Linked DNA regions of Caenorhabditis elegans. The protein of the gene in region 1 interacts with the protein of each later gene in a biochemical or structural test. Each region holds a gene or a part of one and is shown in the gene's direction. Other genes may lie near its edges.

Region 1 (3,621 bases):
GTTTCACTGTATAATTTTTTTGATTGTAGACAATATTCACCCAAATGCTCACTTTTCCATTTTATACTATTGATTTCAGTGTAATGGAATGTACGACTGATAAAATCGTTCCAATAAACACTTAAGTCACCCCACTTGAGCCAACATTTGATATTTGACCAATCCACATACTGAAACTTGAGTAAATGGTTCCACTTCCTCTTCCTTTTTTCTTCAAGCCCTTCTGAAAAAAGTTCATTGGTTTTGAACTTGTCTTAAAACAGAACGGAAACTTATACGAGTTTCCTGAACGAGGAAAAGTTTTGGAGCAGTTTTTTCGAACTTTAAAGCTTTTCCAAATCTGATAAATTCAAAAGTGTTCAAACTGGTAAAAAGCCAGACGTTTATTAATGTGAAGACATTAAAATTGATTATGAACAAAAAAAGTAATTTCGAGTTGAAGTAAATTTACAATAGGAGCATATATTCTTTTTGAAACTGTTACCAGTATTATTTGGAAAATCTTTTAATGCTCACCGTGAGACCAGCTCTAATATTTTGAAGCTAAAAATTCACAACGCCACGCTTGCATATCTTGCTCAAAAGTCCGGTGGTATCTTCAGATGGCTCCTTAGAAAATCTTTTGATCATGCAGTCTTCCAGCCTGGCGGCCCTTTTAAGCCTTATATACGATAGGGGGATTACGGTTAATGCTAAATGGTTGCAAATGTGTGTTTTATTTACGTGATGATGTTTGATGAATCAGCATATGAAAATATTTTGGAGAAAAATAATGAGATAATCGAGTTACATGACACCTAGTTTGGAGTTGATAATATTAGTATGTTTGTTGATAATATTACTATTTGGTTTCAAATTGAAAAATACTGAAACTCAAAAATTTTGGTATACTTCTAGAATTGCCTTCCTGGAATTGGAAAACATAATTATTGCAGAGATCAAAATAGAAGCCTGAGATAATTCTGGATGGCTTTAAAGTTTCAAAAACCAGTAGTTAAACTTTGATTCTTATTGTGCCATTGAAACGATCTTGTTTTTAATCAAGATGCTTTGGGGAGTACTTCATCTCTATGACTTATGAATTCAAAGAAATACACACAGTGGGCGTCCTGGACATAAGTTAATTTTGGAAGAGTGTACATAGAATAAGAATTTTGTTTCAAATTAATTTGACAAGTCATCGAAATAGTATTTTACACATTTATGGGTAGGTTTTCTTGTGTACTTTGCTGTTTTCTTGTATAAAACAGCAACAGCGATTTCAAAATCTGTGAATAGATGCAATTGGTGGTTGCACTATATAGAGAGGGATAGGCTTCTCAAAATAGTTCCGTTTCGACTCTGTAAATTTGTCATGCTTCCGGAGATTGCACTCCAATTTAGACATTCTTTCAATAATGTTTTGTACGGAATCTCAAAAGTGTCTTGCATTGTTATATTGTGCACAATATTTCTGGACCCCCACGGTCGCGCCTTTTGCCTTCCAATTTGCGCCTTTTGTGCGTGTCACACCAGCATCACTTTTTCGCCGCCTTCATCCGGGATTCCTCTATCCTTCACAATCAGTATGGAGGAGAAGAAGCACTGCCGGCGGAAAGCGATGACGAGTTGTGTGGTGAGAGGACGGATTGCCCAATTTTCCAACTATTGTCTACCATCAATCTTCTCCCGAAAAGACACATGATTTCATTTTTTCTTTTCCACTCCTTCTATTTTTTTGCTGTCTTGGTGACATTGAGAGCTCAACTTCATCCACCATAATTTCTCCTCCCAAAAGGGGAGGACCATCATTAGGCCACGCCCACTTGGTCGGCACATAAGCTCGCCAGATTCAGATCGGCATAATATTTGCGCCACACAAGCTGAACTTTCAGTAAACATGAATGTTCAAGTCATCATCGCCCTTTTGTTCTGCCTTATTGCAACATGTGCTACACAGAAAGGTAAGCCACTAGTTCCTTGTTTCAGAAATAGCTTTCAAAATGTAACACTAGACATAGCTCTCCATGTATTGTTAAAACGAATTGGTGTCGTCGTGCTAAGAATTACAATTTGACAAGGAGTCTCCGAGTGGGTGAATCCTGTCAAAACCAAACATGTACATAAATCCTCAATACACAATCTAGTAATGCAATTCACTTCCAAAATATGTCTCAAAAATTAGGCGCAAAAAATTGGAATGTCCTAGCGTCGAGTCACCGACTCATTAATCCCATTAGTCCCAACTATTTCTCATCCAACATGCATAATTACACCAAGAAAAATTCCTCTTCCTGTTGTGCAAATAACACAAAGCGCAGTGTGGCCTAGCTGGAAATTAGGGACTCTTCTGGACAAAAATCTTTCTGAAAATAAAGCAAAAAAAAAACTAGATAAAAGTGAGATTCTGAATAACAAGTAGCAAATCGAGAAACAGAAACGGAAGAAAATATTCTTGGCCCATTGCATTTTAGGAACTCGTCTTATGGGGCCCAGCAAGAAAACCCGACTAGACACATTGATATTATCTTTAATGTATTGTTTTTAGTCAAAGGATCGCCTGAAGTACTCCCGGCAGCCATGTACGATGGGGAACTGAGCCACGAAAGCGTAAACAAGGTACTGTTACTGCTTACCGCACCGAGAGCAACTCGATCATTTCTCAATTGTTTTCAGATTAGTGCTCAGCTGCTGAATGCTCTATCAGAGTTGGAAGCACTTCAGGAGGGCAACCAGCAGCTCAAGATGGCCGAAAAACGACGCAACAAGTTCGAGTTCATTCGATTTGGACGAAAGTAGAGCATCATTTGAGCCGAGCATTGTTTCCAACCTTGAAAAGGATCTATTTAACCTTCTGAATCTCTGAATCTCTCAAATGTTCTCACTCTCTATGTCAATTTCGTAATGAATTGTGATAGCAGCCGATGAAAATAAAACTTGAATTGTTTTTCCTTGTTTATCCCGTGTTTATTGCAATTTTCCTTTTAAAAAATTGGAAGAAAATTGGAAATTTATAAAGCCTGTTAAATTTTGACTTGGAAATATGAAATAATACAATTTGAGTTTATAAAGCCAAATTTAGGCTGATATTTATAAAAGCTGGAAGAATCCTGTCTAACTTAAGTTGTTAGGAAATTTGTCATTCTTTTGAACAATCTTAAGATTGTAGTTTTACTCGTTAAACTCGTTAAAATACAACCGAAAATTGCGTTTTGATTTGATAACCAGATTTTAAAAAAATTAAATGATAATATAATTTTTAGAATATTTTAGTAGTTTGAAATTTCTTTCTAAAAACCAACAACAACAACATACCGTGCTCACCGAGAACTTCACACATCGCTACTTAACTACGCAATTAGACAGTTCAAATAGTTGGCTTAAAAATTAGCCAAAGTTTTGAAATCTGAATTTTTATATACAGTACAAAAGTTTAATCAACTGTATTAGATTTTCAACCTTCCCAATTTCAATTCTACTTGGAAGCACAAAAAAGTTACGAAAAATGTAAAAAGTTAAATTTCTATTTGTAATTTCAATTTTTACACTTTGTTTTGAATGTCTAATTGCTTCTGAAAAATTTCTCGTAAACTGCAATAAAGCATTTTATTTTGTTTTCAGGTTCCCATGCGATGCATAATC
Region 2 (4,629 bases), 1.3 Mb from region 1:
ATATTGAAGATGTAAGATTTCCATTGATGATCAAAAATTCAGAGTGCAAAAGAGCAAAGTAGCGGAGATTTAAAACGTCGCCTCGAGTTCGAAATGTGATTTGAAACAAACACTAAAATGTTCATCCCTCGTCCATTGTTTTCCTTGATATATTATTCTACTTGTCACTTACAAATAGACAGATCAGTGTCCGGGTTTGTCTTTTGTCTTGAAAATAGCATGAAAGAAAACATTAATTTAATTATTCAGTCAACCTTCCTTCATTTTGTAGGAGAATGACGGTGTACCGGATTCGAAAATTATTTATCTCAAGCTGCGTTCGTGTCTTTTTCAATTTTCTTTTTTTCTTTCTGCAACAATAAATTTGTCAGAATGTACTGCGAAAACCTTATATGACGGTAGACCGTGCCAGGGGAATATAAGTTCCCGAGACTAGACATTAATCATTTCTACGTACTGTTCTTGAATTTTGAACTCATTTAAGGTATGGAACTTTCTATACTCCAGAAATCTTTATATAATGCTCATGATTTAATAATTTATATAACGTCAAAAGGTTTTTCCTGATCTTTTTTCTGTTGCCTTCACCTCCGTTTCCTCACGTTTTCTTGTTCTTCTCCCTGCATAACTTTGAAAACAACACAGGTCTTTTGTTGCAGATGGAGAACATCATAGAACACAATGACAGCTTTTCAGCAATGAATGACACACTGATCTGTACATACTTCGAATGCTATATCCACATGTTTGCCATGGTGAGTTCAAAGCATTAAAATCTCGGGAGGTGGTTTTGATGACGCGTTGGAAATTTGGAAAAATTGCAAATTTGTGATAGAAGCCATAGGATCATTGTTTCAATTTTGATATTTGCCAAAGAACAGTTTAGGAAAAATTAATTGTTATCACTAATCGGAGAGCAAAATGTCTCAAGATATGAGATTAGATGTGTTGAAGCAACATTCTATTTTGAATATTCAAGAACATTGAACGTTTTTAAAGCACTTATAAACACTATTAATAGTAAAGTAACATCAGTGAAGAGGGGGGGGGGTTTGAATTTACAATCATGATAGTCTGACATGAACAAATATCATTGTGAAACACTCCAAACATTCTTAGATTTTTCAAAATATTCAGTAAAAGTTGTGGTGAATTACCAAGTTATCAAAAAGCATGGACGTTTTTTTTAAGCAACCTCAAAAGTTTGAACCCTTGAAATTTCAAATTGTATAATAGGACAAAAGTCACTGTCTAGACAAATTTACATCGAAAATATAATTTTCACTTGGTTTAAACACTTATGTGAAACTATCAAAGTTGGAGTATCATCAGTGGGAATATTATTTAATCACATTCATAATAGTCAAATATAATCGTGCAACACTTCAAAAATGCTCCGATTTTTCAAAAAATTTCAATCAAAGTTTTGGTAAATTGTCAAGTTTTCTAAAAGTTTGGACTGTTTGAGAAATTTCAAGCAACTCCGAATGTAAATTTTGGAAAATTTTGTCAAATTGGACTCGAAAAGTTTGCTATTATGATTTATTGTAGGGTACTCATGGGTTTTGTTACCCTCAAAATGTTTTAATTTTCTAAGTTACAATTAACCACAAAAACGTGAACTTTTTTGGAACGATTTGGAGAAACGAATGCTTTGTTCCGTACTTTTGTTTTTGTTTTTAATTTGAAAGGTGGAAAATTTAATTTTAGAAAATTAAAACATTTTGGGGGAACAAAACCTATCAGGACCTAATGTAGCGGCATATGAACAGTTTCAAACATTTTCCCCATTTTCGGAGTAGTGTCCCATTCCTCAAATGACCTAAATAATTCTGCAATTCTGCACGTGTACTTTGGGTGTTAGTTGCGTACGAGACTCTATTGGGAGCCGATCGTAAACCCGTTTTACGGCCTCACACTGCGAGTTAGTCTTTCAGAGACTCATCTATGTGTTTCTGACTGGGCACCAGTGAATCAGTATGGTGTCATTTGGGGGGACACGCGATGCACACAACTTGAAAAATAATTAGCTGATAGACAGGGGCACGCGCTACACAGTGGGCGGAACTTCCAACACTGATTTCACTAGATTTCCCCTTTCCCTCCCACTCCGTTTTGACTGGAACGAATATTTATTTTGTCGTCCAATTTTTCCTGCTATCTCGTTGTTAGAGATTGTCGCTGGGATAATCCGGTTGTGAATGGACGTTTGAAGCTTTTCCAGCATTTTGAACCGGAATCTTTTTTGCTTTCCCATATTTGCTTCCCTATTCGGGCTCGTTCCGAAACGTGAAAGAGTGAAAAAATGGGGAAATGGACGGAACTCGGATTGTCGGGTCGTGAAAATGCAACAAATGTCTCGTCGCGAGCCATAACTGACAAGTCCTTTTTGCAGTACTACGATGAAATTCATATTCCTCTTTCAATTTCTATCTGTATATTCGGAGCCGCTTCAAACGTCTTCAATATTATTGTGCTCACAAGGTAAGTTATATATTTCTTTATTTTTTACGGATGAATGTACCTGTTATTCCAGAAAACGGATGCGAACCCCAATAAACATCCTGCTCACAGGTCTCTCCATTGCACAATGGCTCCTAGCGACCAATTACTTCCTTTACTTATTGCTTGAGTATTATAGATATCAATGGTACGTCATGCATCAAATAAAAAAAACAATGTTCCAGTTTTTTGCAGTGTTCAATTATTATGGTCCGAAGCATTTACAAGATATAGATTCTTCAATGTCAACCTGAATACAGTATTTCATACAAGTAAGTATTTTTAGATTGGCAAGCATATTACTGTACTCAAATACTTTTCAGTTGCATTCACAACGACGATCGTTGTCGCAGTGTTTCGGTATTGTGCACTGAAGTTTCCAATTCAAGCGAATAGATTCATCTATAAATGCCAGCCAGCAATCGCAGCAAACGTTATCATTTGGATCATCATTCCTATCATCAGTCTTCCATTGTTTTTCATATCCGAGGTTTGTGTAGTTAATCTTCATATCTCGAATCTGATTTCATCTATGTTTCAGGTTAAAATTGTCGCTCGTGACCACGTTGCTTATGATTTGCAATGCGAAATGGAAGGTCCATTGTACGACCTCAGTTATCAAGAGAGTCCACTTCTCGTGTCCGCAGTTTTCTGGGCATTTGGTATTGTGTTCAAACTACTTCCGTCGTTAATTCTCTCAATACTACTCATTGCTCTTATAAGATCTTTGAAAAGCGTAGAACGAAGGCGTAAAAACTGGAAGCGTACACAAGGTGCCAACATTTGCACCAACTCCGAGAGAAAAGCAAAAAGAAAGTTGACGACCAGACCGCGCACAACACGAATGCTCGTCATCATTCTACTCCTATGTGTAATGGTTAGTCACTATTTAATGTCTGATCGTATGTGATTGCTGTATTGTTACGATTATTTATATTATTTTGTCTATGATTACCATGAAACGTATGTCTGATTCCAGGTAGAACTACCCATGGGTATTCTTAACTTGTGCGTGGCTATCTACGGTGAAGAGTTCGGAAATCGGTATTACGATCCAGTGGGAAATCTGATGGAAATGCTGACGCTGTTGTACAGCTCTGTTAGCTTCGTTCTCTATTGCACCATGTCCAATGAGTATCTCTCCACGTTCCGAGCACTATTCTTCCCATGGACCAGAAAGAATAGTTTAAGAGGAACTCGAAGTGAGTACTTTCAAACAAAATTGTAGGATGAATCATCTACTTGAGATAACTACATTTTACTCACAATTTTTTCTGACTAAAAAGTTCAATTCAAAATACAATTTTTCAGGAAGTTGGAATCATCGACATGACGACGAAACAAAGTCCCCACGAACTTTTCTGATAAATAGAACTGCGCCAAGCTCATATGTCGGGTCTTAATCTCCTTTGCGTAGTTATTCAATTCAACTATAATTCTTGATTTTTGTATTTATCCCGTTGTGAACTTCAATTCGTCTGAAAAATTTGAAAGTCACAAGTTTGAAAATGTGATTCTTGTTTATCTTGAAATCTTCCGAGAATGAATAAAACTTGTATTGTTTTACTAATATAGTGTGTTTTCTCTATTTGAACAGCTTTTAAAAGTTGGAAAACTGAAGTTTCAAAGTTAAAAATCAAAGTTATGAAAAAATAAGTGTTCAATGATTTTGTCTAATTGACTTTTTTTAAAGCAATTTTCTTTAGAATTTAAAAGTTTTCTAAAACCTTAAATATAATTTTTCAGCATACTTGTTAATTTTTTTAAATTCTAAATAGAAAAAATAGCATATTTATCTGCTACACTAACAAATTGAATCGCTTCTTAATCTATCAAAACAATAAAAATTGCAGTATTTTGAAGCGTTTGGTTTTTTTTTGTTGCAAAAAGTCTCAAGTGTTCATATCTTGACAGACAGTCTTAGCGGAATTTTTAAACGGAAAGAATAATATTTTCTGAACACCTTCAAAAGTATTCTCCTGTCAGTGAAGTTAATACGTAGACGTATAGCGATAAGAAGTTTTTGGGGTCACTTACGTAGACAATGAGTTACTACATCCCGGAATGCTTTTTTATGGGGTTATTCAAGTAGTGTCGAAAAATTAAAAAGGATAGAGAAATGACGTG

Evidence for each region.
Region 2: the proteins of flp-12 (region 1) and egl-6 interact in a test that uses a peptide from one of them, tested with the Caenorhabditis elegans proteins (one large-scale study listed by BioGRID).

The regions. Positions count from the first base shown.
Region 1 is NC_003284.9:4,590,586-4,594,206, reverse strand, and holds flp-12 (FMRF-Like Peptide), read left to right. Parts: upstream 1-1,802; 5' UTR 1,803-1,879; coding exon 1,880-1,943; exon of another isoform or gene 1,944-2,527; coding exon 2,528-2,598; intron 2,599-2,655; coding exon 2,656-2,778; 3' UTR 2,779-2,926; downstream 2,927-3,621.
Region 2 is NC_003284.9:5,930,463-5,935,091, forward strand, and holds egl-6 (G-protein coupled receptors family 1 profile domain-containing protein), read left to right. Parts: upstream 1-2,123; 5' UTR 2,124-2,305; coding exon 2,306-2,484; intron 2,485-2,536; coding exon 2,537-2,650; intron 2,651-2,697; coding exon 2,698-2,774; intron 2,775-2,825; coding exon 2,826-2,992; intron 2,993-3,043; coding exon 3,044-3,379; intron 3,380-3,481; coding exon 3,482-3,704; intron 3,705-3,813; coding exon 3,814-3,905; 3' UTR 3,906-4,070; downstream 4,071-4,629.